7 linked regions of the Oryctolagus cuniculus genome follow. The protein of the gene in region 4 interacts with the protein of the main gene of each other region in a biochemical or structural test. Links are inferred from orthologs where the notes say so. Each region holds a gene or a part of one and is shown on either strand. Other genes may lie near its edges. The genes, in order: granzyme B, GSN, PANX1, CASP3, BIRC2, PARP1 and HCLS1.

The links.
Region 1: of the proteins of CASP3 (region 4) and granzyme B, one has a biochemical effect on the other in vitro, tested with the Homo sapiens proteins (2 studies listed by BioGRID). The link is inferred for Oryctolagus cuniculus from reciprocal best matches to the Homo sapiens genes CASP3 and GZMB.
Region 2: of the proteins of CASP3 (region 4) and GSN, one has a biochemical effect on the other in vitro, tested with the Homo sapiens proteins (2 studies listed by BioGRID). The link is inferred for Oryctolagus cuniculus from reciprocal best matches to the Homo sapiens genes CASP3 and GSN.
Region 3: of the proteins of CASP3 (region 4) and PANX1, one has a biochemical effect on the other in vitro, tested with the Homo sapiens proteins (2 studies listed by IntAct). The link is inferred for Oryctolagus cuniculus from reciprocal best matches to the Homo sapiens genes CASP3 and PANX1.
Region 5: the proteins of CASP3 (region 4) and BIRC2 form a complex in vitro, tested with the Homo sapiens proteins (3 studies listed by BioGRID, with this or other methods). The link is inferred for Oryctolagus cuniculus from reciprocal best matches to the Homo sapiens genes CASP3 and BIRC2.
Region 6: of the proteins of CASP3 (region 4) and PARP1, one has a biochemical effect on the other in vitro, tested with the Homo sapiens proteins (9 studies listed by BioGRID and IntAct). The link is inferred for Oryctolagus cuniculus from reciprocal best matches to the Homo sapiens genes CASP3 and PARP1.
Region 7: of the proteins of CASP3 (region 4) and HCLS1, one has a biochemical effect on the other in vitro, tested with the Homo sapiens proteins (2 studies listed by BioGRID). The link is inferred for Oryctolagus cuniculus from reciprocal best matches to the Homo sapiens genes CASP3 and HCLS1.

Annotation. Positions count from the first base shown.
Region 1 is NC_091443.1:50,647,812-50,651,820, reverse strand, and holds the start of granzyme B, read right to left. Parts: upstream 2,801-4,009; 5' UTR 2,799-2,800; coding exon 2,633-2,798; intron 1,552-2,632; coding exon 1,404-1,551; intron 924-1,403; coding exon 788-923; intron 588-787; coding exon 330-587; intron 1-329. UniProt on the Homo sapiens protein: Abundant protease in the cytosolic granules of cytotoxic T-cells and NK-cells which activates caspase-independent pyroptosis when delivered into the target cell through the immunological synapse. It cleaves after Asp.
Region 2 is NC_091432.1:225,292,520-225,296,718, reverse strand, and holds the start of GSN (gelsolin), read right to left. Parts: upstream 2,801-4,199; 5' UTR 2,760-2,800; coding exon 2,631-2,759; intron 2,581-2,630; exon of another isoform or gene 2,534-2,580; coding exon of another isoform or gene 2,510-2,533; intron 1,207-2,509; coding exon 1,002-1,206; intron 220-1,001; coding exon 65-219; intron 1-64. UniProt on the Homo sapiens protein: Calcium-regulated, actin-modulating protein that binds to the plus (or barbed) ends of actin monomers or filaments, preventing monomer exchange (end-blocking or capping).
Region 3 is NC_091432.1:85,311,893-85,315,992, forward strand, and holds the start of PANX1 (pannexin-1), read left to right. Parts: upstream 1-1,300; 5' UTR 1,301-1,803; coding exon 1,804-1,984; intron 1,985-4,100. UniProt on the Homo sapiens protein: Ion channel involved in a variety of physiological functions such as blood pressure regulation, apoptotic cell clearance and oogenesis.
Region 4 is NC_091433.1:66,406,520-66,410,019, reverse strand, and holds part of CASP3 (caspase-3), read left to right. Parts: intron 1-2,298; coding exon 2,299-2,423; intron 2,424-3,500. UniProt on the Homo sapiens protein: Thiol protease that acts as a major effector caspase involved in the execution phase of apoptosis. Following cleavage and activation by initiator caspases (CASP8, CASP9 and/or CASP10), mediates execution of apoptosis by catalyzing cleavage of many proteins.
Region 5 is NC_091432.1:94,082,147-94,085,646, forward strand, and holds part of BIRC2 (baculoviral IAP repeat-containing protein 2), read left to right. Parts: intron 1-42; coding exon 43-121; intron 122-781; coding exon 782-830; intron 831-3,500. UniProt on the Homo sapiens protein: Multi-functional protein which regulates not only caspases and apoptosis, but also modulates inflammatory signaling and immunity, mitogenic kinase signaling, and cell proliferation, as well as cell invasion and metastasis.
Region 6 is NC_091444.1:39,045,832-39,049,331, reverse strand, and holds part of PARP1 (poly [ADP-ribose] polymerase 1), read right to left. Parts: intron 3,060-3,500; coding exon 2,912-3,059; intron 1,560-2,911; coding exon 1,419-1,559; intron 887-1,418; coding exon 647-886; intron 353-646; coding exon 284-352; intron 82-283; coding exon 1-81. UniProt on the Homo sapiens protein: Poly-ADP-ribosyltransferase that mediates poly-ADP-ribosylation of proteins and plays a key role in DNA repair.
Region 7 is NC_091435.1:77,952,740-77,956,876, forward strand, and holds the start of HCLS1 (hematopoietic lineage cell-specific protein), read right to left. Parts: upstream 2,801-4,137; 5' UTR 2,664-2,800; intron 1-2,663. UniProt on the Homo sapiens protein: Substrate of the antigen receptor-coupled tyrosine kinase. Plays a role in antigen receptor signaling for both clonal expansion and deletion in lymphoid cells. May also be involved in the regulation of gene expression.

The sequences.
Region 1 (4,009 bases), on a different chromosome or scaffold from region 4:
TCCTTCAGGGAGTTCCAGGCCACTATTTAAAGACCTGAAGGCAGACCAGGGGGCCGAGATCCTGTGGTGGGTGGCGGCTCTGAGGAAGCCCCCCTGTTACAATTTCTGCACATTTAGAAATGTGCAAACCCATCCTTCCAGAGGAGCAGCAATCAACAGACTCCCCTTTGTAGCTGCTGAGGTCTTTGTTACTTGGCAGCTATGGCTGCTCCCCTCTAAGCTTCTGCTGGTAGGTGAGGGAGCCCCCCACTGATTGGGTCTCCAGGTTCCAAATCTTCCCCCAAACATCTCCCTCCCTAGAGGCAAACCAGGTGACTGCTCAATCTCACCTTAAAGGAAGATTTTTTGGTCTTTGGGTCCCCCACGCACATCTCAATGTCTTTTTGATACATTTCAAAGAGGGATTCGCATTGCTGGTCCTCCTGCACTGCCAGCTTCACCTCCTGAAGTGTGTCTGAGTATCTGCCATTTGGGTTGATACAACCCCAGCCGGCCACTTGGCACACCTGCCCTGGCTTCACCCGGGCTTTGCCTGTGGGCAGGCTGATGGGCTGCACAGCTGCAGTCCGCTTGGCCTTTCTCTCCAGCTGTTGAGAAGAGGCAAGATAGTCCATCTCAGCCAGTGGCCATCTGGACCTGGATACCATGATGGGGCTGCCCCGTCTTCCCTCTTTGAAGCACTGGAACAGGCCAAGTGGCCAGGATGGAACGGAGGGAAGGAGCAGCCTCACAGTGGGAGGCACAACGACCAGACCAAGGTGAAAAAAAGCAGCAGGGAGTGCCCTACCTGCAGTAACATGATGTCTCTAGAGATGTCCTCGGGGTTGTAGTCCTTGTGGGGGATGGCTCTTCTCACGGGGATGACCTGCTGCGTCCTCTCCTGCTGCTTGATGTTGTGGGCCCCCAGGGTGACATTTATTGAGCTGCACAGGGAGCAGAGTGGGGATGGGGAGGCGTGGACGCACAGGGGAGACAGCCCAGGAGCTGTGAGGACCAGCTGACAACTGGGGCAGGGTAGGGCTGCAGGTGAGGGGGAATCCAGGAAACCAGGGGCCCCTGGGGCTGAGCTGTCTGTGCCCTCCGCTTCTCAACAGTGGAGGTGGAATGTTGTAGCTGTTGGTTCTCAGGGGTCACTTACTCACAGGAAAACACACGGGGTTTCTTCATTTTGCATTCTGATGCCAAAGCAAGCTCCTAGCTCTCAGTACGGCAGAGTTGATCCCTCTGCTCTTCCCCACTTGAGCAAGGCCTCTGGCACCAACCTGCCTTTTGCCACAAGACTCTCCTGTCCTCTTTCTCACCCTCTTAGGAGCCCCCTGCACACGTGTTCCTGCGAGCCCTGGGAGTCTCTGTGCAGCTTTTCCTGGTTTGGGGTGGGGAGTGGGCTGTGTGCTGTTCCTCACCTTCCGTGGCAGTGAGCAGCTGTCAGCACAAAGTCCTCTCGTACCAGGAAACCTCCGCATGTCCTCTTCATACCATCTTTCCAGTACTGAAGATAGGCCATGTAGGGGCGGGAGTGAGGTTTGGCCTCATGTCCCCCGATGATCTCCCCTGCAGGAAAAGTCTGCCTGCTCATGTGCACCCAGGGGGGGCGGGCATTTTCTTGATGGCTCCAATACTGCTGGGCATCTGGGAGCCTGGAATGACATTGAGGTGAGAGGGGCATTGGGGAAGGACCCTCATCCTCCTTCTCTGAAGAGGGGAAGGAAAAGAGTTCTTGGTCTATGAATCTTTCTTGAATACTTCATCGGAGGTGAGCATACCTGTCTTAGGGACAGTGACACCCAGAGGTGCCTCCTGGTTCCTCTCCAGCTCTTTGTTTCCAGTGAGCTTCTGAGACCCTGATGCATCCTGTGATGTCTAGGATGGTTGTGCTTTCTCAGGCCAGGAGCTGAATTTAGGGACCTAGACATTGTTACAGCCTGTCTCCTAAGGCCTGACATCAGTAAGTGCTCACTGGCTGCGTGGAGCAGTGGCCCGTGTTAACCTGTCGATGAGGGCTAGGAGGGCAGTGCCGGTAGGATTCTGGGAAGCAGAGAAGTTCGGGTCTTCCACAGTGGCTCAACCCTGCAAGGAGGGGAGCCACCACAGGCCTGGGAAGAAAACAGAGCTGGAGACAGGGACTGAGGAAAGGCTAAAGTGCCTGTGGCATCCTGTCCCCAGCCAGCCACTTGGCACACCTGCCCTGGCTTCACCTGGGCCTTGCCCCTGGGCAGGCTGAGTTCTTAGGGCAATGATTACGACTCTGGGGTCAGCTGACCTTGGGCGTCTCTGCTAAGCAGATGGGGAAGGGAGCAGCTGTCTCATCCCAGACTCAGAAGCTAGGTCCTCTCTACCTTCTTCAGGAGAATTAATGTTTTCTCTTTTCCCATCTGTCATGCATTTCTAGGAAAGTCTTGCTTTCCAGTCAGTGGGGAGGGGTGTAGAGGAGGAAATAGCAGCTCCTGGCCCTTGTTGAGAACAGCCTTCTGGCTGACCGTTACCCAGCCTCGTACCTGGAGTTCTGTATGGCACTGGAGTGGGGCTTCAGAATGCTGCTGGTAGAAGACGTGTCAGGTTGTGAGGAGGGGGCAGGGGGTCTGTGCCTACCGTGGAGTGGGGTCAGGCCTCTGAGGCGGGGGTGGGCACTCACCTGCCTCTGCCCAGGGGGGCAGGAAGAAGGCCAACAGGAGCAGAAGTGGCTGCATCTTCCCAGGAAAGACTGCGCAGCTTGGAGCTGCTGATGCTTCCTCCTTACTCTCTTTTAGTTCCCGGGGTGGGGGCGGAGAGAGGAGACAGGGTGGGCTCAGTGACCTCATGTTTTCCGGTACTTCTTTGTGGATAGCTTTCTATGAAAGCGCCCCACCCCCACTGCCTGAGCCTGATGACGTCTTCTAGGAGGTTGTGTGAGAATCGTGCAGTGACCGCATCGGTACCCACAGCTGCTGACTCACAGCGAACCACCACCTGTCCCAGCCCAGAGCAGGAACCCCAGGGTACAAGTGAGGACTGTGGGAGGCCCCAGACACCTGAGTCCATCAGGACAATTCCTTCAGCAGATGAATGTTTGGGTCCTTCTTTTGTGTTAGGACCGAGCATGTTGGAGGTATGTCTCCTCCCTTCCACAGAGAGCTGGTCATCTGGTGGAAGAGACAGAAACACCAATGACTGGAATAGAGTTTTGCAAGGCCAACAGAGTGATACACAAGGCAGAGATAAACCATGGTCACCATCTACTGAGCCCACCTAGTGACCCATTCATTGTGGCAGTGTCTTTACTGAGAGATTTTTAAACATCATGCTTAATTACAAATGCCCCTCTCCCCTCCCCACCTTTTTTTTTAAAACAAAAGTCCTGCAGTTGGTGTGGATTGACCCAAATGAACAAATTACTGTGATTCTAGGAATTAAATCCATTGATTTCATAAGCCTAGGTCATTCCTACATCTTAGGTTAGTTTGGGGCCAGTCTCACAGACTACATGAACTGGTAGAAAGAGACGGTTCCCCAAAGGATGCTCAGGTTCCTAAATCACTGATGCCATGTCAAGTCAGAAAGCATGCTAGACAAAGGTCAGCCATTGTCTTTTTAGGGTTCTCAGTCTTCTGTGCAGAGGGTCACACTTACAGCATAGGCCCAGCACATGTTCAGTTCACCGTAAATGTTTGCTAAACAAACTATGCTGATGTTCTCACTACACTGAAAGTGGGACGTTGTGTCTAGGTAGACCAGGACCACTTCTGTGATAGCAACAACCGAGTATCTCTAAATGGTTGGATTCTGAAGGCTCAAGTTTCTGTTTTTGCATTAATTTAATTCTAGGTATTTTGTTATTTTTAGGTGCTCTCATAAATGGAGCTATTTTCTTAATTTCCTTTTTGGATTGTTCATTGCTGGTGTATAGAAACATAAGTGATCTATCCTATAATTTGTCAGATTCATTTTTATTTATTTATTTTTTAAGATTTTATTTATCTGAGAGTAGAGTTATAGACAGAGAGAGGGAGAGAGAGAAAGGTCTTCCATCTGC
Region 2 (4,199 bases), on a different chromosome or scaffold from region 4:
AGGTGCACCTGAGTGAGCCCTGCTGTCAGCGCACCCATCCCCAGCAAAGTAGGGGCCCACGCACCTTGTACTTGAGGCCGGACTTGAAGTAGCCAAGGAAGGTGGCCGACTCGAAGCCCTGGGTCTCACGGTGCTGCACAGCCCGGCCGTTCAGGTAGTCATCCAGCTGCACGGTGAAGATGGCGGCCGCCCCACTCTCGTCCTGGCTGCACTCGTTGCCTAGGCGACGCAGGGCAGCATGAGCCAGGCTTCCTGAAAGGGGTCCCGGCACCCCCCATCCCACCCAGGGAGGAAGCTCCAGCACTGCCCTGGGCTAGCTGGGAAAGCCCAGCAAGCCCCTGCCTCTTGTGAGCCTCGGTTAACCCCTCCATATAATGGGTACAGGGGAGGGAGGAAGTGTACCTGGACCCCATTTTTCTCTAAGGGTCATCCTAGCTCTGATACATTGCTCTGCACTCCTGTTCAGCTCTCCTGAGCACGAACTCAAGTATGGATTAGGAAACTGAGGCTCGGCCAGGTGACAGGGCTCAAAGCACCCCACAGCAGAGCCCCTGACTCTGAAGGACAAACTTGGGGGTGACGGGAGCCACGGAGGGGTCTGCTTGATGATAATCAGGGGCGAGCTTTTGGCACAGCAATTAAGATGCCAGTTGGGAGGCCCACACGCCATAGCAGAGTGCTGAGTTCAAGTCCTGGCTCTGCTTCTGGCTCTAGCTTCCTGCTACCGTGCACCCTGGGAGGCAGCAGTGATGCCTCGGGTACTCGGGGGCCTATCAACCATGTGGGAGACCCGGATGGAGTTCCGTGCTCCTGGCTGCAGCCTGGCCCAGTCCCAGCCGTTGTGGACATCTGGAGAATGAACCAACTGATAGACAAGCTCTTTGTCTGTCTCTGGGTGTCTCTCTCTGCCTTCCACATTAAGTAAAAAGCAGCAAGCTCCAGACCACAGCCAGCTGCCCTGCCAGGGGCTGGGCAGGGGCTGGATGGGTGGGCAGCCTCACCCAGCCAGTAGTGGAGGTCGTACTGCAGGTTCCCATTGCGTAGCTGCACCGTCTTCAGGATGACGTAGGCATCGCCCATGAAGAAGTCTCCATAGAGGTTGGGCGGCACAGGCACCAGGTCGAACTTCTCCACGCGCCAGATCTGCAGGCCAGGCTGCTTCCCTGCCTTGAGGAACTCGGGGTGTTCCACCACCATGCTGCTGGGCTGGAGAGAGACAGGCAGTGCCTGAGCAGGGGCCCGCGGCTCGGCTCGGCAGGGACAGACCCCGGGCGCGAGGGAGGCTGGTTCCAGCACCAAGAGCGTCCGACTTGAGCCACTGCTCTTTCCACACCCGAGGGGAGTCTGCCTCCTAGGAGCCTCTGTCCTGGTGAGCTAGCGAACAGGGCCAGTGGTTCGGCTCCAGACCCTGTGCCTTGCAAGCTCCTGGCCCTCCCACTCAGCTCCCGGGGGACAGGACAGAGGGATCTACCTCCCTCTCCCTCCCCTTGGTACTGTCACTGGCCATGTTAACTGAGGTGCAGGCAGGAGCAGGGACTGTGACAGGGACCCCAAGCCAGGTGACAGCAGAGCAAGGACTTCTCCACGCTCCGGGCTGTTGGGTAGCCCCCCGCCCCAAATGGCAATGGTAAACCCAAGGGTCCCCAGGGGCTTAGCTTGCTCCCTTCCAGCACCCTCCACGGCTCTTAAGATTAAAGGGCTCTCAGAGTGCTCCTTATCCACCCCTACTGTGCAAATAGGCACACAGAGGCCCAAAGAGGGGAGGGGACAGCTCAACGTCTGCAGCCTGTGTGCCTCTGTCCCACGTGGGACAATTTCCTGTGCCCCCTCCATCCCCTTCACACCCCCCAGGAAGGGTCTGAACGGCTGAGCCCAAGTGGCCTCCTGCGCTGTCTGCCTCCTCCCTCCTGCCCCCCAACACCCCACCCCCAAATTCCATTTTTTGACATCCCCCCGGGGGTCTGCAGGAGCCTGCTGAAGGCGAGGTACCCAAGGAAGGGCAGAGGCTGTGAGACATGCAGGGTGGGGAGGGGGGGCTAGAGACGGCGGCCGGCGGGGTTAGGCAGGAGCTGGGGGTGGCAGTCAGCAGGCATGGGTCACCTCGGCCGGGGAGATCTGGGGGCAACAAAACGTGAGAAGTGAGAGGAATGAGACAGAGAGAGGCACTCAGGCAGGGGGTGGAACAGCACTGGGAGAGGAGAAACTCAACAGAGCAAGGGAGACTGCAGGGAGGTGAGAACCTGTGATGGTCCAAAGGACACATAAGACAGAGGGAGATGCCGGGGAGGGCGGGAGCCATCAGAGGAGGGGGAGATGGAAGAAGACAGGCAGTGGGAAGGAGACCTTAGGCAAGGAAAGGAGAAATCAGGTGGCAGAGATGGGTAAGAAATCAGAAGGTGGGAGGGAGGAGAATTCCGGCCAAGGTGAGGTTAGCCTTCGCGTAGGGACGCAGCCAGGGCCCCCAGGCTCCCGCCCTCCGCCGAGCCCTGGAGCAGCAAGAGATACTTACAAAGCAACAAAACAGTTTTTCCATTCTAGACCTGAATTACTCCCCTTTTCCTAGCGCTGTATCTGCAAGAACTTACAATAGAGAGTTACTCCGGGAGCCCCGGGCCCCCCGGGGCACTCACCCGCGCCTGGGGCGTCCGTGCCGGAGCCACCCTCTGCGATGCGGTGGCCGCGAGGGCCGGCGGCGACAGGGCGCACAGCGCCAGGACCAGCGCGCCGAGCAGCGCGCGCGCGGAGCGGTGCGGAGCCATGGCGGCGGCGACAGCAGAGGACCCGCAGCCCCGGCCCTGGGATCGCAGCCCTTAAGTAGCCGCCCGCCCATCCCGCCCAAGCCCGGACCGCCCCGCAGGGAGGGCGCGGGGCAGGGCTGGGCCCCCAGCGGGCCCCCGGGGCGGGGATCTGTCAGGGATCTTGGAGACATCTGGGTTCCCACTGAATCCGACCCGACTGGGCGCGGCCGCCCCTGCACCCCAGCTGCGGGGCGGAAACTTAGCACAGAGCTTGGCATACAGCAGATGCTAACTAAGTGCATGCTAAATGGGCACACCAAGGAATTGTGGGGAGCACAGCTCAGTCTTTTTCTCCCGAGTGACCTCAGCAAGCCCTCTTCCTGCTCTGCTCCTGGTATTTCCAGCAGAAAGCTGACATCGAAGGAACACATAGCAAACCGACACACCAGGACATCCTTTACAGAGTGTGTGCTGCTGACAGCCCATTTCATAGAGGGGCAGACTGAGAGTGCAGTGGGTAAGCAACTTGCTTACAAGCAGTGCTGTCACAATGTGACTGGGTCTGGGGCTGGGTAGAACCAGTCCCGGGCAGCCTGCCAGGGCCACCAGCTGGGGCAGCCGTGCCAGGAGAGGCAGGCAGGGCTCAGAGAGGGGCGGGCCAGACTCTGAAGCCCTGGGATTGCTGGTTCTACTTTACTCAAGGTGGCCTTTCTTTCCTGCTTTTCAAAAACATTTTTGTTTTTTTAAATAAACGTTGAAACATTTTTGTTTTTTTCTTCTGAGCAAAACATAAGGTCCCAACTTTGTACAACGCTGCCCCTCCCCAGGGGCACCGGCCTCCCCATCTGCCTCCTAAGCAGGCAGGGCTCGCCTTCTCGTGTCCAGATAACAGGCCCTCATGCTTCTAGAAGGGTTTTATCCATTTTAGGCACCCTCTACGGAGCCCTCCTGGGGAAGCCAGGATTGTGTCTCTTCTCCCCTTCCCCTCACCGCTAGAGGCATGGTCACTGGGTTAGGACACACATACACACCACTGGAGGCATGGTCACTGGGTTAGGACACACACACACACACACACACACACACACACTCATACTAGAGGCACACTGGCTTAGGAGAAGCACCCTTCCGGCTCCCCTTGGTGTATTTCCCAGTTCCCCCCATCCCACTCCCCACCCCTCGGCCAGACCCACCTGCTCCCAATCTAAGTGTTCTTTGCATTCCAAATAGTCCCCTCCCTCCTGCAACCTGGTGCGGTGACAGGAAACAGAAAGAGACGGTTGGAGACCTGGGATGGGTACCCACCTCCGCTGTACCTAAGTTTCTTTCTTTCTGCAGGTCTCGTCTACTAAATGCGCATAAATGGGGACCAAGGATTAAATCGGCCTGGATGGCCTGGCTGCGAGGCTGGTGGGAGCTCCTCTCCCTGCACCGCACACACAGCCCGGTCACCCACCCCGG
Region 3 (4,100 bases), on a different chromosome or scaffold from region 4:
GCATATTTAACAAAGGGACCTAACCTAGTTTGTCTACTCCAAGGTTTCCCTGGCAGAGTGACATAGAGTCAATGACAGGAGAGTCAATGAGAGTTGGTCAGGCACAGGCCACTGTGGGGTGTTTTGGGCAGGGGAAAGGGCCTGGCTGATCTGAGGAACTGAAGGGGGTTAGCAGGGATGGTGTCAAGGTCAGCAGTGGCCATGTTAATAAATATGGGTTTTATTCTAAAAGCGATGTACACTTTAAGTACGGAGTATGATGACTAGACTGGAGCTTTTAAAAACTCTCTCCCCGTAGCCGTGGGACAGAGCAGCTTGGGGGGCCCTGGGAGGACGTTTCTGAGTGGGCTTAGGGGACAGGACGGGGAGCTGAATCCGGGTGTTGGCAGTGCTGTCAGATTTGCTGGCTGTCAGACGGGGAAGCAGGAGAATGTGGGCACAGGTCTGGCGGCTGGGAGCGGTGGAAATGTTAACCACAGCTCTAGGACTCTGGCTTGAGCGCCTGGGCTGGGGTTGGGGAGTGGGGGTTGTGGTGCCTTCAGTGAGATGGGGAAGTAGAGTTCAAGTTGAAGGGGAAGATGAGGAGTGACACCTCGGCCATTGGGAGTTTGGAGTCCCACAGGACGCTCCATCGGAGTGGAGAGTTATGCAGACCCCTGGCTGTCTGTGTAGAGGATGATCCGGGGCCATGAGCTGAGGCTTCCTCATGGCCTGGCGCTTGCAAAGAGCAGAGACGCCAGCCAAGCCCGGCCGCAGGCAGCCCTCACGTTTGAAGGTCCTGCCTGCTCCAGGGGTTGCTGTTGGGAGCATTTCCTCCTGCCTTTCTCATCCTCCGCTTCCTAGGAGAGGTGTAGGGGCTGCCCTCTGCGGCTCCCCCGCAGCAGGCACCCCACGACCAGCTCCAGAGCAAGGCTGACTGGAGAGGCAGGAGAAAGGGACGCGGGGGGCCACGCAGCGCTAATGGAGGCCCAAGACCCCAGCACGCGCAGCGCTCTCCGCGGAGCTCCGAGAAAGGTCTGCGCGGCCCGAACGGCCTTGCGAGGCACCCGTTCTTTGAAACTTCTTAGCTCCTGTTAACCCGATCTCTCGGTGTAGACACGTTGTGCGTGGGCCGCAAGAAGAGTCCACAGGGGAAAGGCCATTTACAGAGACGGTTTTAAAAATCCCGGGCCCTGGGGGGATGGGAGGGAAACGAGGATGCAACGGCCCCGCAAATTCCCATAGATGCCCCTGGCTGGGAAGCTCTTTCCTTGGGCGGGCACGAGGGGCGCGGGTGCACCCCGCCCCGCGTCAGCGCCGCTTCCGGAAACTCCACGCCCCTTGCTACTCGGTTTCCCCGGTGGTTCCGGAAGAGCGCGGAGGGCTGGGACGGCGTGCAGCGGCCGGGGGCGCGCGCAGGGGACTGGGCACAGGGAAGCGCTTTGTTCCTGGTTGTTGCTGGCGCCTACGGGCTCGCAGCGGAGGCGTGGAGCCCGGGTTTGGGGCGTCCCCGGGGGATCTGCCGGGGCTGAGCGCGCGGGGCGGAGCCGCTGGGCCCCAAGCGCCTGGGTCGAGCTTGGCCGGCGTTCCAGGCAGGAGCTGGAGAGCTCGTGCGCCCGCGCGTTGGGAGCCGAGTGGAGGCCGCTGGGGGCCCGACGGCCCTAGACGCAAAAGGCGGCAAGGATGAGGGAGCAGCTGCGGGGCGCACGGCGAAGGGAAAGCGAAACCCGCGCGCCCGGCCGGTGACAGCGTGAAGGCGCCGCGCCGCCCTCCCGACGCCGGCGGCACCCGGTCCTGCCCGGCTGAGCCCCGCGCCCCGCAGCCATGGCCATCGCCCACCTGGCCACGGAATACGTGTTCTCGGACTTCTTGCTGAAGGAGCCCGCCGAGCCCAAGTTCAAGGGGCTGCGGCTCGAGCTGGCCGTGGACAAGATGGTCACCTGCATCGCCGTGGGGCTGCCACTGTTGCTCATTTCTCTGGCCTTCGCCCAGGAGATCTCCATCGGTAAGATATGGGGGCCGGAGGGGCTGGGCCAGCCTTATTGCGAGCTGCGGGCTCCGGGGAGGTGGGATTTTCCGGGGGCGCAGGCCTGGGACTCGCCCAGATTTGGGGTCCGAAGCGGTTTGAACCCTTGTCAACCATGCTCACATCCCTCACTCCTCAGTTCTTTTGTTCCCTGCGCCTGAATGATCAGACTGTGGCTTAATAGTTCGTGTTCCGTTTGCTTGACGGATTTACCACCAGATTTGCCAAGAACCAGCGTCTCCCCCCCACGTTTTTACTTCCCCACCCCAGTCCCCGTGTTTGTAAAGTCACCTAAAATTTTGTGCCAGAGAAGTTACTGGGTAGCTGAAGGCAGAGAGGCAGAGGTGGTGACGACAGGTGCTCCATGAAACTCGTGGCCTCCCTCACTCCCTTACATTTCATTGATACTCCCTGAGACTTGAACTGTGGAGTGACAGAAAGCGGCTGCCTTTGGACAGCAGTATTATGAATACGAGATGTGCAGGTCCCCCTCATGTACGTTTAGATTGCATCATAGTACCAGATTGGCAACCCTGGTGGTTTGGGAAGGGTCACGTGGCTAAGTGGCTCCTGTTCCTCAACAGCTGTTGAGACTTAGGGCGCAGGAGAGAGTGTTAATGACTCAACGGGAAAGTGCTGAAGTCTGTTCTGTAGTGGGGGAGACCAGGGGCCCTGGACCTTGGGGAGGGCTATGTCAGAGGGTGGGCGGGAGTTGCAGGAGCACAGGTGAAACCTTGGCTGAGATTTTGAGATGGCTGAGGGCATTCACGTTCCTGTAAGGGGAGACACAGTGGCTGTCCTAGCCGAGGCAGGAAGGTTAGTAAAGGTTCCTGGATGAGTTAGGACACAAGAGTGAGCCCTGATGGACTCAGGCAGGTGAAGTGATTTGAACAGACAGACTGGTAGAAAGCAGCAGTCAGTAGTCAATAGCCTGGTTGTGGCAAGCAGGGTCTGCATGGGAAGCAGCGGAGAGGATGGAGCGAGGGGACCTGGAGGCCATGGGGTGGGAATCCATTGAGGTCTTGTACATGGTGGTGCAAAGAGTGATGGGAAGGGATGGTGATTTCTGACAGATCAAGGAACAATAAGAAGCACTTGGGTACCTGAGTTTTTATTTTTTCCATTTATTTGAAAGGCAGGGAGACAGGGAGAAAGAGATCTTCCACCTGCCGGTTCATTCCCCGAAATGCCCGCAATAGCTGGGGCTGGTCCAGGCCAAAGCCCGGAACCCAGAACTCAATCCAAGTCTCCCATGTGCATGGCAGGGACCCAAGTACTTGAGCCATCATCACTGCTTCCCAGGGTATGCTTTACTCAGAAGTTGAATCAAAAGCAGAGGCAGGACTCACAGCAGGATGCGGTTTAGGTATAGGATGCTGGCGTCCCAAGCAGTGTCTTAAACGCCTGCCCAGGCTGCCTGGATTTTAATAGGCCCATCATGGGCAGAAACTGGTTAAACTTGTTGCGAAGGTTGTAGGCTTGATTGATTGGAGGATGATGATTGTGTTGATGGAAATAGTGGCATTGAAGGAAGCTTTGGTTAGAAAAGGGTGATGATGGGGGCCGGCGCTGTGGTGCAACGGGTTAACACCCTGGTCTGAAGCGCTGGCATCCCGTATGGGCCAGTTCTAGTCCCGGCTGCTCCTCTTCTGATCCAGCTCTCTGCTGTGGCCTGGGATAGCAGTAGAAGATGGCCCAAGTCCTTTGACCCCTGAACCTGCGTGGGGGACCTGGAGGAGGTTCCTGGCTCCTGGCTTCAGATCGGCGCAGCTCCAGCTGTTGCGGCCATCTGGGGAGTGAACCATCGGATGAAAGTCCTCTCTCTCTCTCTCTCTCTCTCTCTCTCTCTGGTTCTCCTCTCTTTGTGTAACTCTGACTTTTGAATAAATAAATAAATCTTTAAAAGAAAAAAAAGGGTGATGATGAATTTGACCTTATGGTGTGCAGTACTGTTGTTCCTTTTGTCAGGAAGTGGCCAAATTCATTGTGGAAAATAAAGTTTCAGTTCTGCTGATCTTTGGGCAGGTGTGGTCAGCAGGGTTTCTCTTTTGCTTTCCAGATGGCAGGAGGTTGAGTCTTCCAGCTGGAAGGAAAA
Region 4 (3,500 bases):
CCCTCCAATGGCCGCCGCGGCCGGCACGCTGTGGCTGGCACACCGCGCTGATCCGATGGCAGGAGCCAGGTGCTTCTCCTGGTCTCCCATGGGGTGCAGGGCCCAAGCACTTGGGCCATCCTCCACTGCACTCCCTGGCCTCAGCAGAGAGCTGGCCTGGAAGAGGGGCAACCGGGACAGAATCCGGTGCCCCGACCTGTACTAGAACCCGGTGTGCCGGCGCCGCTAGGTGGAGGATTAGCCTAGTGAGCTGTGGTGCCGGCCTCCAGTAGTAGTATTCTGTACCACCCTGGAAATTATAAACTTGTTTAGTAATGCTAAACAATAGCATTATAGCAGTTCCATTAATTAGTTTAAAGATGCAGCAATGTTTGTTTAGCAAAGGTAGAACTTGAACTTTTGAAATGCAGTCCCATTTTAAAGCGTTTTTCTTATCTAGTTGTCATTAAATCTTTTTAAAGTGATCCACACTCTTCCTGTTTTTCATGTCATGACATCATTTAAATGGCAAGTGCATAGGACCGCTGACAGTTTTGCGTTGTTCTGATGCTATGGTAAGCCGCCTGCACATTCCCAGGCCCTTTGAGTCTGCTACTGGTAGAGTCCCGACCTCAGGAGATGGGCGTTAATAATTCAGTGATCCATTCTCTGCATGACCTGAGGGTCAAATCACTGGGCTTTCAGAGTTTTCATATTCAGGGCTGTTCATCTCTACCTGACTGATAGTAAATTTTTACTGCTTTTAACCTTTTTCCAACAACATGTTTAGAACTATGCATACAGCAGCCCCATCTCTGTAGGATATGTTCCAAAACCCACAGAGAATCTGAAAGTGCAGATGGTACCAGACCCTGTGTGTCCTGTGTCTTTCCCTCTGCCTAAGCACCTCTGATAAAGTATAGGTTATTAATGAAGCACAGCTAGAGATGAACAGCTGTCGAGAAAACAGAACAGTTATAACAATGTACCTTAATAAAACTTGCTTAAACATTATAAGTTATTTCTGGAATTTTCCATCTAAAATGTTCAGAAGATGGTTGACCATGGTTAACCACAAAAAGGCAGAAGCTTGGATGAGGGGGGACGAGTGTAGTGTGAACTAGTCTTAAGATTCAGTGCATGAGTCTGGCTCTTCCCAGGCCTGCTGTTTCCTGATTCTTGGTGCAGATCAGTGGCTAGGACTCTGGAATATCCTTGGGGTGTGTTTCTGTCAGTTTTCTTGGGACATAACTACATCTGTGCCCTCTCATACTCTCCTGGCGGATTTCTGCAGCTACTGAGTAGGCACAGCAGAGACCTGACGGCCCACATCGCAAACACCAACTGTTTGGCCCTTTAAGAAAAAGTTTATTCATTCCTGGTCCAGGTAGCAGAGGTTTTTCAGCATAGTGACTTCCAGACAAGAATGTTACGTTAGGGCTCCTATGTGTTAGTAAATTCTGTGTATTAATAAGATACTAATTTGTTCAGCTCATAGTGTCTAAGAAATAACTGAGGAATTATAATAATTGTGCTTTGAGTCATATTTACAATTTGTTGGTTTCTGTCATTTCAAGGTAACTTAAGATTTTACTCTTGAGTCCGGCGCCATAGCTCAATAGCTAATCCTCTGCCTGCGGCACCAGCACACCGGGTTCTAGTCCTGGTCGGAGCACTGGATTCTGTCCCGGTTGCCCCTCTTCCAGGTCAGCTCTCTGCTGTGGCCAGGGAGTGCAGTGGAGGATGGCCCAAGTGCTTGGGCCCTGCACCCCATGGGAGACCAGGAGAAGCACCTGGCTCCTGGCTTCAGATCAGTGTGGTGCGCCGGCCGCGGCGGCCATTGGAGGGTGAACCAACGGAAAAGGAAGACCTTTCTCTCTGTCTGTCTCTCTCACTGTCCACTCTGCCTGTCAAAAAAAAAAAAAAGATTTTACTCTTGAAGGATAAAATATTTGGCAAAGTTTCAAGAAATTTTTTAAATTATAGAATGTGCTTGGTACCATTTTGTTAAAATTTAAAGGGAACATAAAACATACGAAAAGCCTGAACTCTGAAGTCCAGTGATGGTTCCTTTTCTGCAGACTGCGACACAGTCTCCGCACAGCCTCGTGCACACTGCTTAGCCTCACAGCAGGTAATTTCCTCATCTGTAAAATGGGTTGTTGTGAAATGTAGGTGAGGAAAAGCCTGCAACACAAAATGTGATTTGTAATATGCAACAAGTGTTAGCTGTTCTTCTGAGTTATGAAAGCTGTACTAATGTGAACAGAAGGATCGGGCATTTCCACCTGTGTAAACTGTTGTTTCATTTCCAAACAGAAAAATCATACATGGAAGCAAATCAATGGACTCTGGAATATCCTTGGACAATAGTTACAAAATGGATTATCCTGAAATGGGTTTATGCATAATCATTAACAACAAGAACTTTCATAAAAACACTGGTATGTATCTTATATAATTTTTAGTCCCCTAATAGTACATTTTAGAATGTTGTTAGAGAATATAGAAAATAAAATTCCTCAGAGTCCCAAAAAGCCAATTAGCATTTTGATGTATTACTTAATATTTTTTCTTGACAGTTTTTCTGAAAACCATGATTTTATTCATAACAAGCAAGCAATGTACCCTGGTTGTTACACTTAATGTAATACAAGTTTTTTTTAATGTTGCTGTGTAATTTTTATTTTTTTTTTAAGATTTATGTATTCATTTGAAAGTGTGACAGAGAGAGAGAGAAAGAATCTTTCATCCACTGGTTCACTCCCTAAATGGTGGCAAAAGACAGGAGCCTGGAATTACCTCCAGGTCTCCCTCATGTGTGGTAAGGGCTCAAGCACTGTCCATCTTCTGCTGCCTTCCCAAGTGCATTAGCAGAGAACCAAATCAGAAGTGGAGCATCTGGGACTCGAACTGGTGCTCACATGGAACGCCAGTGTCACAGGTGGTAGCTTAACCCACTGCGCCACAACACCAGCCCCATATGTTATTTTAATAGTTACAGAATACCACATCCCCTAAACATAACTATACTAATAGTATAGTATTATACTATATACTATAAATATATACTATAAGTGAATAACTTACCACAGAGAAGAGCATTTTGGCTGTTTCCCTGTTTTTCATGTTTTAAATTGATGCTGTGATAATTCCTCAAATTGTCTTATTAACCAACTTAGAATTAATTTTTAAGTTAGACCAACTACATGTAGTGAATCTAATTTAGGAAAAAATTTATGAGAGTGATAAAAAAAAAAAAGTGACAAGCCAGACTACACTGGAAAGATAGGGTTTGGTGCTGAAGAGCAGGTGAAATTTGGTCTCCAAATCCAACAGCACCATTTTTATTGCTTTGGGTTGTATGCTATCAACTTCAATTATTAAATAAAAGACAAAACTTTCTTTTTGCTCTGTTTTTTAAAAAAAATGTACTTACATTCTGCTTCATATTGCCAGTCACAAAGCCTTCCTGCTGTAGAACTTTGCACCTTACCCCGGAGAACCTCTTCTTAAAGCAC
Region 5 (3,500 bases), on a different chromosome or scaffold from region 4:
ATAAATAAAAGTTGAAACAATATTTTTCATCTTATGTTTTAGGTGTGAATTCTTGATACGCATGAAAGGGCAGGAGTTTGTTGATGAGATTCAAGCTAGATTTCCTCATCTTCTTGAACAGGTAAATATACTTTTTAAAAGTTAACAATATTGGATTCTACTGTATGATAATTTGACAGCCAGGCCAAAGCCAAGAACCAGGAACTTATGTGTGGGTGGCAGAGGCCCAACCACTTGGGCCATTTTCTGCTTTCCCATGTATTAGCAGGGAGCTGGATTAGAAATGGGGCAGCCAGGACTCAAATCGGTGCTCATATCAGATGCCAGCATTGCAGATGGTGGCTTAACTTGCTGTATCAAAATACTTTAATTTTTACTTTTGTATCCAATGTATTTGGTGAGGGCTTTCAAAAAAGATTCTTTTGAAAAAAATATCTTGTCACTGTACACATTTATGGTAGGGTTGGAGAAGGATCTTTCATCCTTTTACAGAAATTAACTTATTAGCAATTGAGACCTCTTGAGAGTAACCCATTCAAATGGAGTAAGAAACCATTTATATATTTTCCTACTTTGTTGAAATGGAAGATAATACCTGAATTCTAGTTTGGAAGTAGGGTAAGTTTAAGGAAACCTGTCCTATAGTTAGGATAAAACAAAGCAAAGTGAAGTGTATAAATTACCCAGTTTCGAGTATGTACAATTACTTAGGGTAAACTTAGTGTTCCTCTTTTCAGATTGAGATTTCTGATTTTACCTATTAGCTTTTCTTGTTTTATAGTTGTTGTCAACTTCAGACCCCCCTGGAGAAGAAAATGCTGATCCACCAAGTAAGTGTGAAATATTATTATTAGTGTAGAATGGGAATGTATATAATAATGTGAGGAATGAAAATATATTCTTAAAAAAAGAGATTCTGAAGTTACAGAGAAAAATACTGGGAAGTTAACTGGTAAACCTTAGGTACATACAAAGATTAATGGTATTTTGGGGATTCTAGAAAGTTTATATAGTTTAGTGCTGACATCTCAACAGGGGAGAAAAGACAGATGCAAAAGAAAAACAAATAGCTCAAAGCAATGTCAATAAGAATTGAAAATAATAAGCCCTCCTAAAGAGGAAAAGGTTGCTGTGAGCCAGCATGGTTTGGAAAAAGCCTGGTTCACATGATTTAAGAAGTGGCTTATATATTAGATATTTAGGTCAGGTATATAGTATTTCAATAATCTCTTTTGATTAGAATTTAGTTTTAGCCTATTGGTCTATTAGTTGATGTTCAGAATGTACATTTGAGGGTGGCTCACAAAGTTTCTGGAAAATGTAATTAAGAGATAATTTTACCGCAAAAGAAAAATGGAAACCTTTGCTTACAGAAGTCTTAAACTATCATAGAAAATGCATATTGTGAAACTGCAGATACAGTTGAGTTCTTTGTCCTTTTTAGGACTCCTTCTTTAGCTTCTCAGATGCCCCCAGACAATTGGTATTCTCCCATTTTCCTTTGCTCACTGCTCCTTTTTCAAACTTCAGTGGTCATTGCAAATTTATTTCTTCATTTCCCAAGACCCAGGCTGGAATGTCCAGCTCTCTGTTTAATTCTGTCTTTGGCTATGATAGAATTCTGAGTTAATAGGACCAAAACAAAATTTTCTCCTAATCCTTTATTCCTCAAGTTTGCTTCTCCTTGGGCTTCTCCATTTCAGTTAATGATACTCATTTGCTAAGATAAAAAAGATGCATCATCTCAGATTCCTCTCCTTTCTTTAGTCTGTATATGAGCAATTTTTTTTTTCTGCCTTCATAACACATCCCTCTCACTATTTCTCACCATCACCACTATCACCGTATTCAGATTGCCATCATCTTTTGTCATAGTAATAGGTTTCCCGGATGCCACTTTTACCTGATTTAAAGTCCATTTCCACAGAGCTGCTAGAGTTATCTTTTGAAAATACAAGTCACATTTTATCAGAGCTATGTTAAAAGCCTCCTAGACTATTCTAGCAAACTTAGAATAAAATATGAACACTTTGTAAAGCTCTCCATCTGGACGTTGTCCTCCCTTCCGTCCTTCTACCACCTTCCTTCTCTTCCTTGAACACGTGAAGGTTTTCCCTTGTTTTATGGCTTTTATACTTGTTATTCTCTTGCCTGCAAGACGTCTCATATATTTCCACAGCTTACTCTTTATTACTGTTTTAAATCTCTGGGTGTTCTCTTCCTCTCTCTTCTTTTTTTAAAGATTTTATTTTTATTTGAGAGTTACAGAGAGGAAGAGGCCGGCACTGTGGCTCACTAGGCTAATCCTCCGCGTGCAGCGCTGGTACTCTGGGTTCTGTCCCAGTTGCTCCTCTTCCAGTCCAGCTCTCTGCTGTGGCCCGGGAGTGCAGTGGAGGATGGCCCAGGTGCTTGGGCCCTGCACCCACATGGGAGACCTGGAGGAAGCACCCGGCTCCTGGCTACAGATCGGCGCAGTGTGCCGGCCGTAGCAACCATTTTGGGGGGTGAACCAACAGAAGGAAGACCTTTCTCTCTGTCTCTCTCTCTCACTGTCTAACTTTGCCTGTCAAAAAAAAAAAAAAGAAGAGGAAGAGACAGATCTTCCATCTGCTGGTTCACTCCTCAGATGGCTGCAACTGGCTGAAGCTAGGAGCCTAGAGCTTCTTCCAGGTCTCACAAGTCGGTAGAGGGGCTCATGAACTTGAGTCATCCTCCGTTGCTTTTCCCAGGTGAATTAGCAGGGAGCTGGATTGGAAGTGGAGTTGCTGGAACTCTAACCAGCACCCACATGGATGCTGGCTCACAGGCTGCAGCTTTACTCGCTATACCACAATTCTGGCCCCACTGAGTGTTCTCTTCAGACAGGGAGTCCACATAATGTCTTGGCAGTGTCGCACATAGCACTCATGTTGTTTTTTATTAATGTTTGTTATAACAACTTTCCAGCAGATGGCACTAAAGTGTCTTGAAGAATTAGGTCCACAGTTTTCACAAAACTGCCATATAGGCTAGCTTTGATGCTGTTATCAGAAAATGCTTCCCTGACCATTCTTATTTAAAATGCCCTCCAGGCTCTGAGTTTCTTGAATTAGTTTTTACTTTGGAGAGCACATGTCTCCATCTAAAACTATGGTTGTTTAACCATAGTTTTCACTGCACATTTAGATATGTTACAGGTGTAATACTCTTCCATTTTCTGTACTTCCCATTTTTATTTTCTCTGTCTCAGCTATCCACCCAACTAGGCCCTGTCCAGGCTTCAAATCCAAGCTCCAGTGTTACCTTTTCCATGAAGTCATTTTTATTTCCCCTGTCTTCCTAGCTGGAGACAATTTATAAATTCTAAGTTTGTACATGTTGCTGGTTTTCAAAAATGATTATCCATCAGAATCATTTGGGGAATTTAAAAAATTTAAAGATTCCTAAGCCTTATCCCTAAAGAGTTTGTTAATAAGTAGGTCTAAGATGTATCTTGGGAACTGATATTTTTAAAAAGTGTA
Region 6 (3,500 bases), on a different chromosome or scaffold from region 4:
CCTTAACGATGTCCACCAGGCCAAGGGTGGCGCTGAACACCTTCCCGCCTTTCTCCAGGACGTGTGCCGAGTGCTCCAGACCTGCCCCGGGGGAAAGCTCCTAGTTTTCTCTTGTCCTCTCGTCCCTGGGGGCCAGTGCTCTCAGGGAGAGGGGGTCTGCTGGTCTAGGGGTTTATGCCTGGTTGGACACATGAACAACATCTTTGCGAGGTGCCTCAAGAGACGCCCGTATCCTCAGGTCCGAGGCCCCACCTCCCCTCTGCTCACATCCCTGTCTGCTTACCAGAATCAGGATCGACGGCTGCACCTCCTTTGAGAGTTAATTTCATCCTCTTTTCAGATTTGTTCATACCTTGGAGTGGGACACAGAAATGTGAACATTTTTCTAAAGGCAGAAGACAACTGAGTAGCTTTCATGCACACGGCCTGCCAGCAAGGCATTAATGTACTGCCTCCCACCACCTCGAGAGCCGGCTGCCCTGGCCCAGTGAGAACTGATTTCAGAAAGCGGTGCAGGAAACACAGGGAGGCTCCATGTAAGCCAACCTAGCTGGCCTGGGATAGGCCCCTGAACTGGGGTAGGCCAGGGCAGGGCTGTGGACCCTCTTGGCTCCCGGCCCAGAAAGGGGCAGCTGGAGGCCCTCACCTTCCTCCACTGGTCCCTTGCTCTTCTTGGCGACAGCAGCCCCTGACTTTGGTTTTGGGGCCACTGCTTCAACAGGCTCTGCCTTCACCTCGGCCCCCCAGGGGGATAAGATGTGCGCTGAGAGCAACTCCTGCAGGCTCTTGGCGGAGCTGGAGACATCCTGGAGGAAGTCCTCAGCCACGACGCGGACGTTGGCTTCTCTGACTTCCTCCATTTTCTTATTCATCTTTTCCACTTCCTCTGTTCAAATTGAAAGGGGGTGAGTGCGTGTGTGCATGCAAAACTACACAGAAAGTTTAAAACTTCAAACAGGGGTAAACTCCCGGGGACTTGCAACCCTCATCATTCACTGTCCCCCTTCCCCCCACATCCATGAGCCAGGGCACCTGTCTCCAAACCGGCCCTCCCCCCCCCACATCCATGAGCCAGGGCACCTGTCTCCAAACCGGCCTATGGAACGAGAGATCGACAGGCACGCACTCCAGAGGGAAAATGACCCTGACATGAAACACCGATGTGAAGGCTGAGCACTGTTTCCCTGGCCCTGGGGACCAGCAGTGGGCACCTCACAGGGTGGCGACAGAGCAACCCTGTGCCTCCCAAACACACTGAGCCGCAAACTCTTGCTGTGGCAGCATGCGGAACACTGGCTTCCCTTCACAAGGGGCCTGACCAAGGGTGAGACGCATCTTTCCTCCATGAACGCCCCTCACGATTCCAAGGCACAGCCGCGCCATCCCCACCCCTGCCTGACAAGCAAGATGAGACTCACTCTGGGTGCTGATGCACAGCGAGGCCTTGCTGGCTGTCCCCGTCACCTTCCCCCCGAGTTTCTCGACGGCGGCCTTCACTTCGTCCTTGTTCCGGGACAGTTTCCCAAGGGTCAGGATCTTCATGTTGGACAGTGGCTTATCTGGGGAGGGAGAGGAGCATCATGAAGCATGGCCAACCCTGGCACTGCTCCCCAGGATGTGGTGGACGAGGAGCAGAACATGAAGCAGCGAGCTCCCAGGGCAAAGCCAGGGCAGACTGCAGTGTCCCTGATGGCCCCGGCACCCCTCTTTCACCCGCTTCTCCTTCAGGAAAAGGCTGTGAACATAGAGGCAAAGGACAAGCAGGGAAGCAGAGCACAGAACAGCGTCCTGCTGCCCAATGACCTACACATGACCCTTGACACAGGCAGGACCGGGCAAGGGTGGACTATGAGAGGCCATTCTATGAACAGGGCAGCTGTGGGCCGCCCTGGGTCTGCTCCACAGACTCGGAAGGCTGCAACACGGGCCACGGGACCAGGAGGCTGCAGCGGAGGGGGAGAAGGGCAGGTCACATGAACTTCCAAACCCTTCTGCTCTCCTCCTCCCACTTCATGTCTCCAAACAAACTGCAGTTCTTATTAAAAAGCAGCAGCCTTGCATTTGCAGTGCCCAGCGCCGGCCAAGCTGGAAAGCCTAGGATGGAAAGTGCCTTCTGCCTGCTCTAAATAATGTAGTGCTGGTGACATTTTCAGACCCGGAGGAGCTGCAGGGAGAAGTCCCACCTGCTCATTCTGGGAAGGCCGAGTCATTTAAAGGAAAACTGGCAAAGTCTCCAGAGAACAAAACCAGTGGGTTGGGTGTGAACTGGCAAGTGAGAGGAAAGCTGAGGAGGGACACCTGCATTTGGATCCAGGGTAACCATGCATGTGCCCTGCAGTGACCACAGGTGCCCTCCAGGGGGCAGGAAGGAGGCCTCTAAGGGGTTCATGCTCAGGGACGGAACCTTGTCCTCCACCCACCAAACTGTGGCCTTCACCTTACACTGTCCACGTGTCTCCAAGTAAAGGAGCAGAGGGTCTCCTCTGCCCGAACACTCGCTGATAGGGTTGTGCTTGCTGCTTAGGGTGCTCCTCCCTGGCCCTGCACATAACACAGACCCAAGCGTCTCACCAGGCACACCTGGTGGGGGCAGAGCGGTTGAGCCTCGGGAAAGCAGGAGCCCTGCAAGGAGGCTCTGTGTGGTCAGGCAGGACATCCTGAATGCCACTCCAGGTTAGGCTGCTGGCTGGTCTGTCCTAAGAAGCCCTGCCTAGCTTCCAGAGTAAGAAAGCATTTGTCCTTAATGCCTGCTCCCTGGGTTCCGCCCTCCAGATGCGTCAGGGCAAGGGAAGAGCCCTAACCCAGGCAGGTGGGGCTTCCCAGAGGACAGGCAGAGACCCCAGGCGGCTGCTCTCAGGTCACTGTAGAATCAGGGCTCAGAGGTCGGGGCGCCCAGCCCCTGGAGGTGTACCTGCTGGAGCGGAGGGAGTCACAGAAGCGGGGGCCGAGGCTGTGGAGGGAGGGGGTGCCGCTGCTGCCGGGGCGCTGCTCTCTGGGGGGAATATGCGGTCCTGCTTTTTGATCTTCAATTTCTTGAGGTAAGAGATTTCCCGGAATTCCTGAAGAATTTAAGTTTTAGTTTTTAAGAAACTAGTTCCCTCTATAAACGACCACCTAACAGGCCAAAAGAGATCTGGCTGGTGCAAATTCAAAGATCTCTTTTTCTAATAAAGAATGTAGAATAGGAAAATGGGAGGCTTCTAGGATGAAGGATGGCAGTTCTGCCACCATGGTACTTATGGCCAGTATTTCCATTTTATGATCAAATTGGCACTGCAGCTATGTTAAAAGAAGAGTCTTTTCCTTTAAGAAAATGAAAAACAAAATGACAGTTGATGATCTGGCCAGGGAACCACTGCTGGAGCCTATAACCACCTCCCCGGCCCCACTCATTTATTTTTTCCACGAGAGGGAGGCGAGTCTCTTATTCGGTGGTTTGTTCCCCAACTGTCCGCAACAGCTGGAGCTAGGCCAGGCCACAGGCAGGAACTGGGAACTCT
Region 7 (4,137 bases), on a different chromosome or scaffold from region 4:
TATTGAGATTTTTTCCAGCCTCAGTCCAAGTGCTGTCCCACGTTCTCTTTTTTTTTTTTTTTTTTGGTCAGGCAGAGTGGACAGTGAGAGAGAGAGAGAAAGGTCTTCCTTTGCCATTGGTTCACCCTCCAATGGCCGCCACGGCCGGCACGCTGCGGCCGGTGCACTGCGCTGATCCGAAGGCAGGAGCCAGGTACTTATCCTGGTCTCCCATGTGGGTGCGGGGCCCAAGCACTTGGGCCATCCTCCACTGCACTCCCTGGCCACAGCAGAGAGCTGGCCTGGAAGAGGGGCAACCGGGACAGAATCCGGCGCCCCAACCGGGACTAGAACCCGGTGTGCCGGCGCCGCAAGGCAGATGATTAGCCTAGTGAGCTGCGGCACCAGCCCCACGTTCTCTCTTGAGACTGGTCACCGCACAGCTTGGGAGGTCAATGGGGACAGTCAGCTGAAATGCTCACATCCAACAACATGCAGGGAAGCATTAGCTGCTGGGAATAAGTTACTCATTACCCAACTTTTAAAAGCTGTCAGGGGTGGGAGTTACAGTGTATTGCTTTAAGCAGCCTTGTTCAACACCCACATCCCATACTGGAGTGCCAGTGCAAGTCCCGCTACTCTGCTTCCAAACCAGCTTCCTACTAATACATCCTAGTGGGCAGCACATGATGGCTCAAATGCTACCATCCAAGTGAGAGACCTGGAAGAGGTTCTGGGCTGCTGGCTTCAACCTGGCTGGTGCACTTGGAGAGTGAACCAGTGGATGGAAAATTGATCTCTCTCTCCCCGACCCCGACCTTATCTCTGTCTCTGTCACTTTGCCTTTCAAGTAGATGAAAATAAAAATTTACAAAACACAGCAGCAGCTCTGAGGCCCTCTATGGACTGGCTTTAAAAAAAAATAAAAAGTTGATTACAATTCTAAAAACATAAATGGTTCAAAGCATATCATGTATTTTACAAATAATACATCCTTTATTTTGACCATTAGGAGGCATTGGATTATTAGCAACAAAATGAATGTTTAAAAAATTTACGGAGTACTGGTCTGAAGGGGTTCCAAATCGTATTCTGTTGGGGCATCCCCAGTGTACCAGTGAGCCTTGCTAACTGTGCGAGAGAAGCAGTAGAACAGCTGCTCTGGGCTTGGTAGGAAAAGGTGCCAATGGACCACTCATGTTTCCCAGGGCCACTGAGACTACTGGACTCAGGCACCGCCTACTATCTGGAAACTTCCCTACCCATGTCCCCCTTCCCAGAGCCCTTCCCCCAAGCTCTTCAAGGTCCCTGCAAGGACCCCCATTTGCCACCCCTCCTGGGGCTCTCCTGTCTCTCCACCTTGGCCCTTGCATTCTCTAGTTTTCTCTTCTACTTGAAAAGTCCATCCTTTTCCATAGTCTTTGAACAACCCTGAAAACCAGCCCCGGGGAAGTCTCTGGTAGATTTTGGTTACTGAGATGCTCCAGGGGCACTGGGGAAGTATTGACCGAGGCGGCCTTACCACGGGGTGAGCCACTGCCCAGAGCGGCTTGGTCTTCCCTGGGAGGGCAAAGTTACATAAAGGGGGCAGATAAACAAGCCCTATCCTCCTGCATCCTTTACAAGCCCTCTGCTTCCCACACTGGCTCCTGGGCTGCTCTGCAACAAAAGGCCTTCACTACAAAATAGGAAAGGAGAAGTTTCTGAAATAGTCGCGAGCAATAAGGAAGCAATGAGGACCGATGGCTCCTTCGACTTTCCTGCCTTTCTTCCCAGCCTCAGCGCGACTTGCCAACAAACTTCCCATCTGTGTCTGTCTACTTGTGGCATAAAGAGTTGCTGACACAGAACAACTGACCTACTGACGAGAAGTTGGGAAGGCAAAGGGTGCTCTCTGGGGGCAGGAGACTAGAGGGTGATGTGGAGAGGCATGGCCCCAGGAGGTCGGGCACATCCAGGACCTCAGCTCAATGCTGACATGGCAGTACATGACCTAGGAGCCAGGAGACCCGTGAGCAGCCCAGCTCTGTGTTGGAGCCTCTGTGGGGCCATGGTAAAGGAATCAACACAGAGGATGTTCTCATTTGCCAAGCAACAGACAAGATGGTTCACAAATGTTCATTTAAATGATTTGGCAAACCACCTATTATCTCTGACTTCCTCAACAGAAAGCAAAAGTAGGGGTTAACTTAGCTAGTCTAGAAAACCGACTCCATCTCTGACATTCTGGGCCTCGATGATCCTATAAGCACAGGAAATACCCCAATCCAACCATCACGCCTTCCTCAGGCCTCCATCAGCAGCTGGTTCTCAGCGCAAGTGTGCATGAGCAACTGCTTCCTGTGGGTTTTGTCTCTTTGCCGGACCGTGTTTTCAAGGGCAGACACGGTCTTTACAGCCTGTACCCCTCCTCCCAACTTGGCATCAGGCCTCACGGTGGACTAGAGATGGCCAGATGGCCACTAAGTCACGTTTCCAGGGCTTGAGCCCTTCTGTTCCAATCCCCAGCTGCTTGTTCTCTACAACCCTTCCCCACCCCCTACCCAGCCTCAGGCCTTCTGACCATAAAAGGTTAAACGCCTACTGGCAGTGACCTAGTCCCTCCCTGGGGACTAACACTCAGGTGGTTTCCTCCTCAACCCCCACCCTGTGCTCCCAGCTCTCCCATGGCTCAGAGTACCCACCTTCACTAGCGAGGGTGTCTTCTCTAAGCTCCAGGCTCCTCACGTCCACACCACACTCCCTGTCTGGTTGCTGCCACTTCTGAGCGAGAAACCGAGCTGCTGCTTCAGTTCCGTCTTCAGGTTTTCTGTCATTTCCTGCCACACTGTCCTCACAGCTACTTCCTGAAGTTGGAGTCAGTTCCTTCTGCTTTAACCACTTAAATAAAAGAGGATTAAATGTTTCTCTGTCTCTTCTTTTGTAAGCTTCTGAGGATTGTGGGATCGGCACGGAGAATGTTGCTCCAACTTTCAGACTTTATCAAGCAGTCAGAGAAAGCTTCACTCAGAAACCCATCAGACAATGCTGGAGAACAGCACTTGTGACCTAAATAGCTGGTCAGTTCCATCTGTGACAGTAAAGGCATCCGGAGCTTCTGGGAGGGGCTGTGGTAACCAAGAAAGGCTGGAAGGGAAAAGTGACTGTGGATTTTGAAGGGTAAGCTCTAAGAACAACTTCTGCATGACCCACAGCACTCAAAAGTAGGGTTTGCATATAGTAGATGCTCAAATAAACATCACTCACCTGAATGGCAGAAGGGGACAAGTCAGGAGGGAAAGGGCAAGGCGTGGAGGAGGAAATGTTCATGTTGGGGACAGTGTGGCATCTGAGCTCACAGGTGAAGATTTGGCTCCAGATAGTATGGAGAATTCTGAAAGCAGCAGGTGCCATCAGTGGATGGAAGGTATCGGCCATGTCCTGTCTTAATATTTGTCAAGACTGGCTGTCCTCCCATCCCTCGACAAATGTGCACAGGTGACAGGTACTGGCCAGGGAAATACCCCCTTTTTGGTGGAGACCTGAAGCCCATTGCAAGCTTTGCCATCTCTTTCGCTTACTGCACACTGAAACAACTTGTAATTCTCCAGTGTAGCTTCTCTGCTAGCCTAAGTTTCCTGAGCGACAATGACAACACGAGTACAGCCCCATCTATCACATAAGGGACTTGGAGCCTTTAACTAAAAAATAGTCTTTGGTTTCAGCTACCAAGAATTTGGGTGTTTCTTGTTGTATCTGATCTAGCCTCACCTAATCATGTCTGCAGAGTTTGGAACTGATTTGCTTGTGTAAGTCATGAGATCCACAAGGGGTTCAAGCAGGACTGGATAAAATTGGTCAAAGGTCACTTCCAAATCTAAAGACCTAAGTATGGATCTATCAAAAGTTAGAGTAAGGACCTATCTCTTCTAGTTCATTATCTATTTATCATGGTGGCACCAAAGTTATGCTAAAGGAGAATAAATTTGTAGGAGGAGAAAAAAATCTTTCAGATCATTTGGAATCTAAAATGATAAAAATAGGAATTATCAGACCAGATACTGACATCATCCAGGTACATAATTTGCTAGAGAAACCATGGAAATTATCAGAGATGACACCAAGAAACTCCACCTCTTCTTAGCAAATATTCCAAGTTCATTCCGAATGAGGGATTGA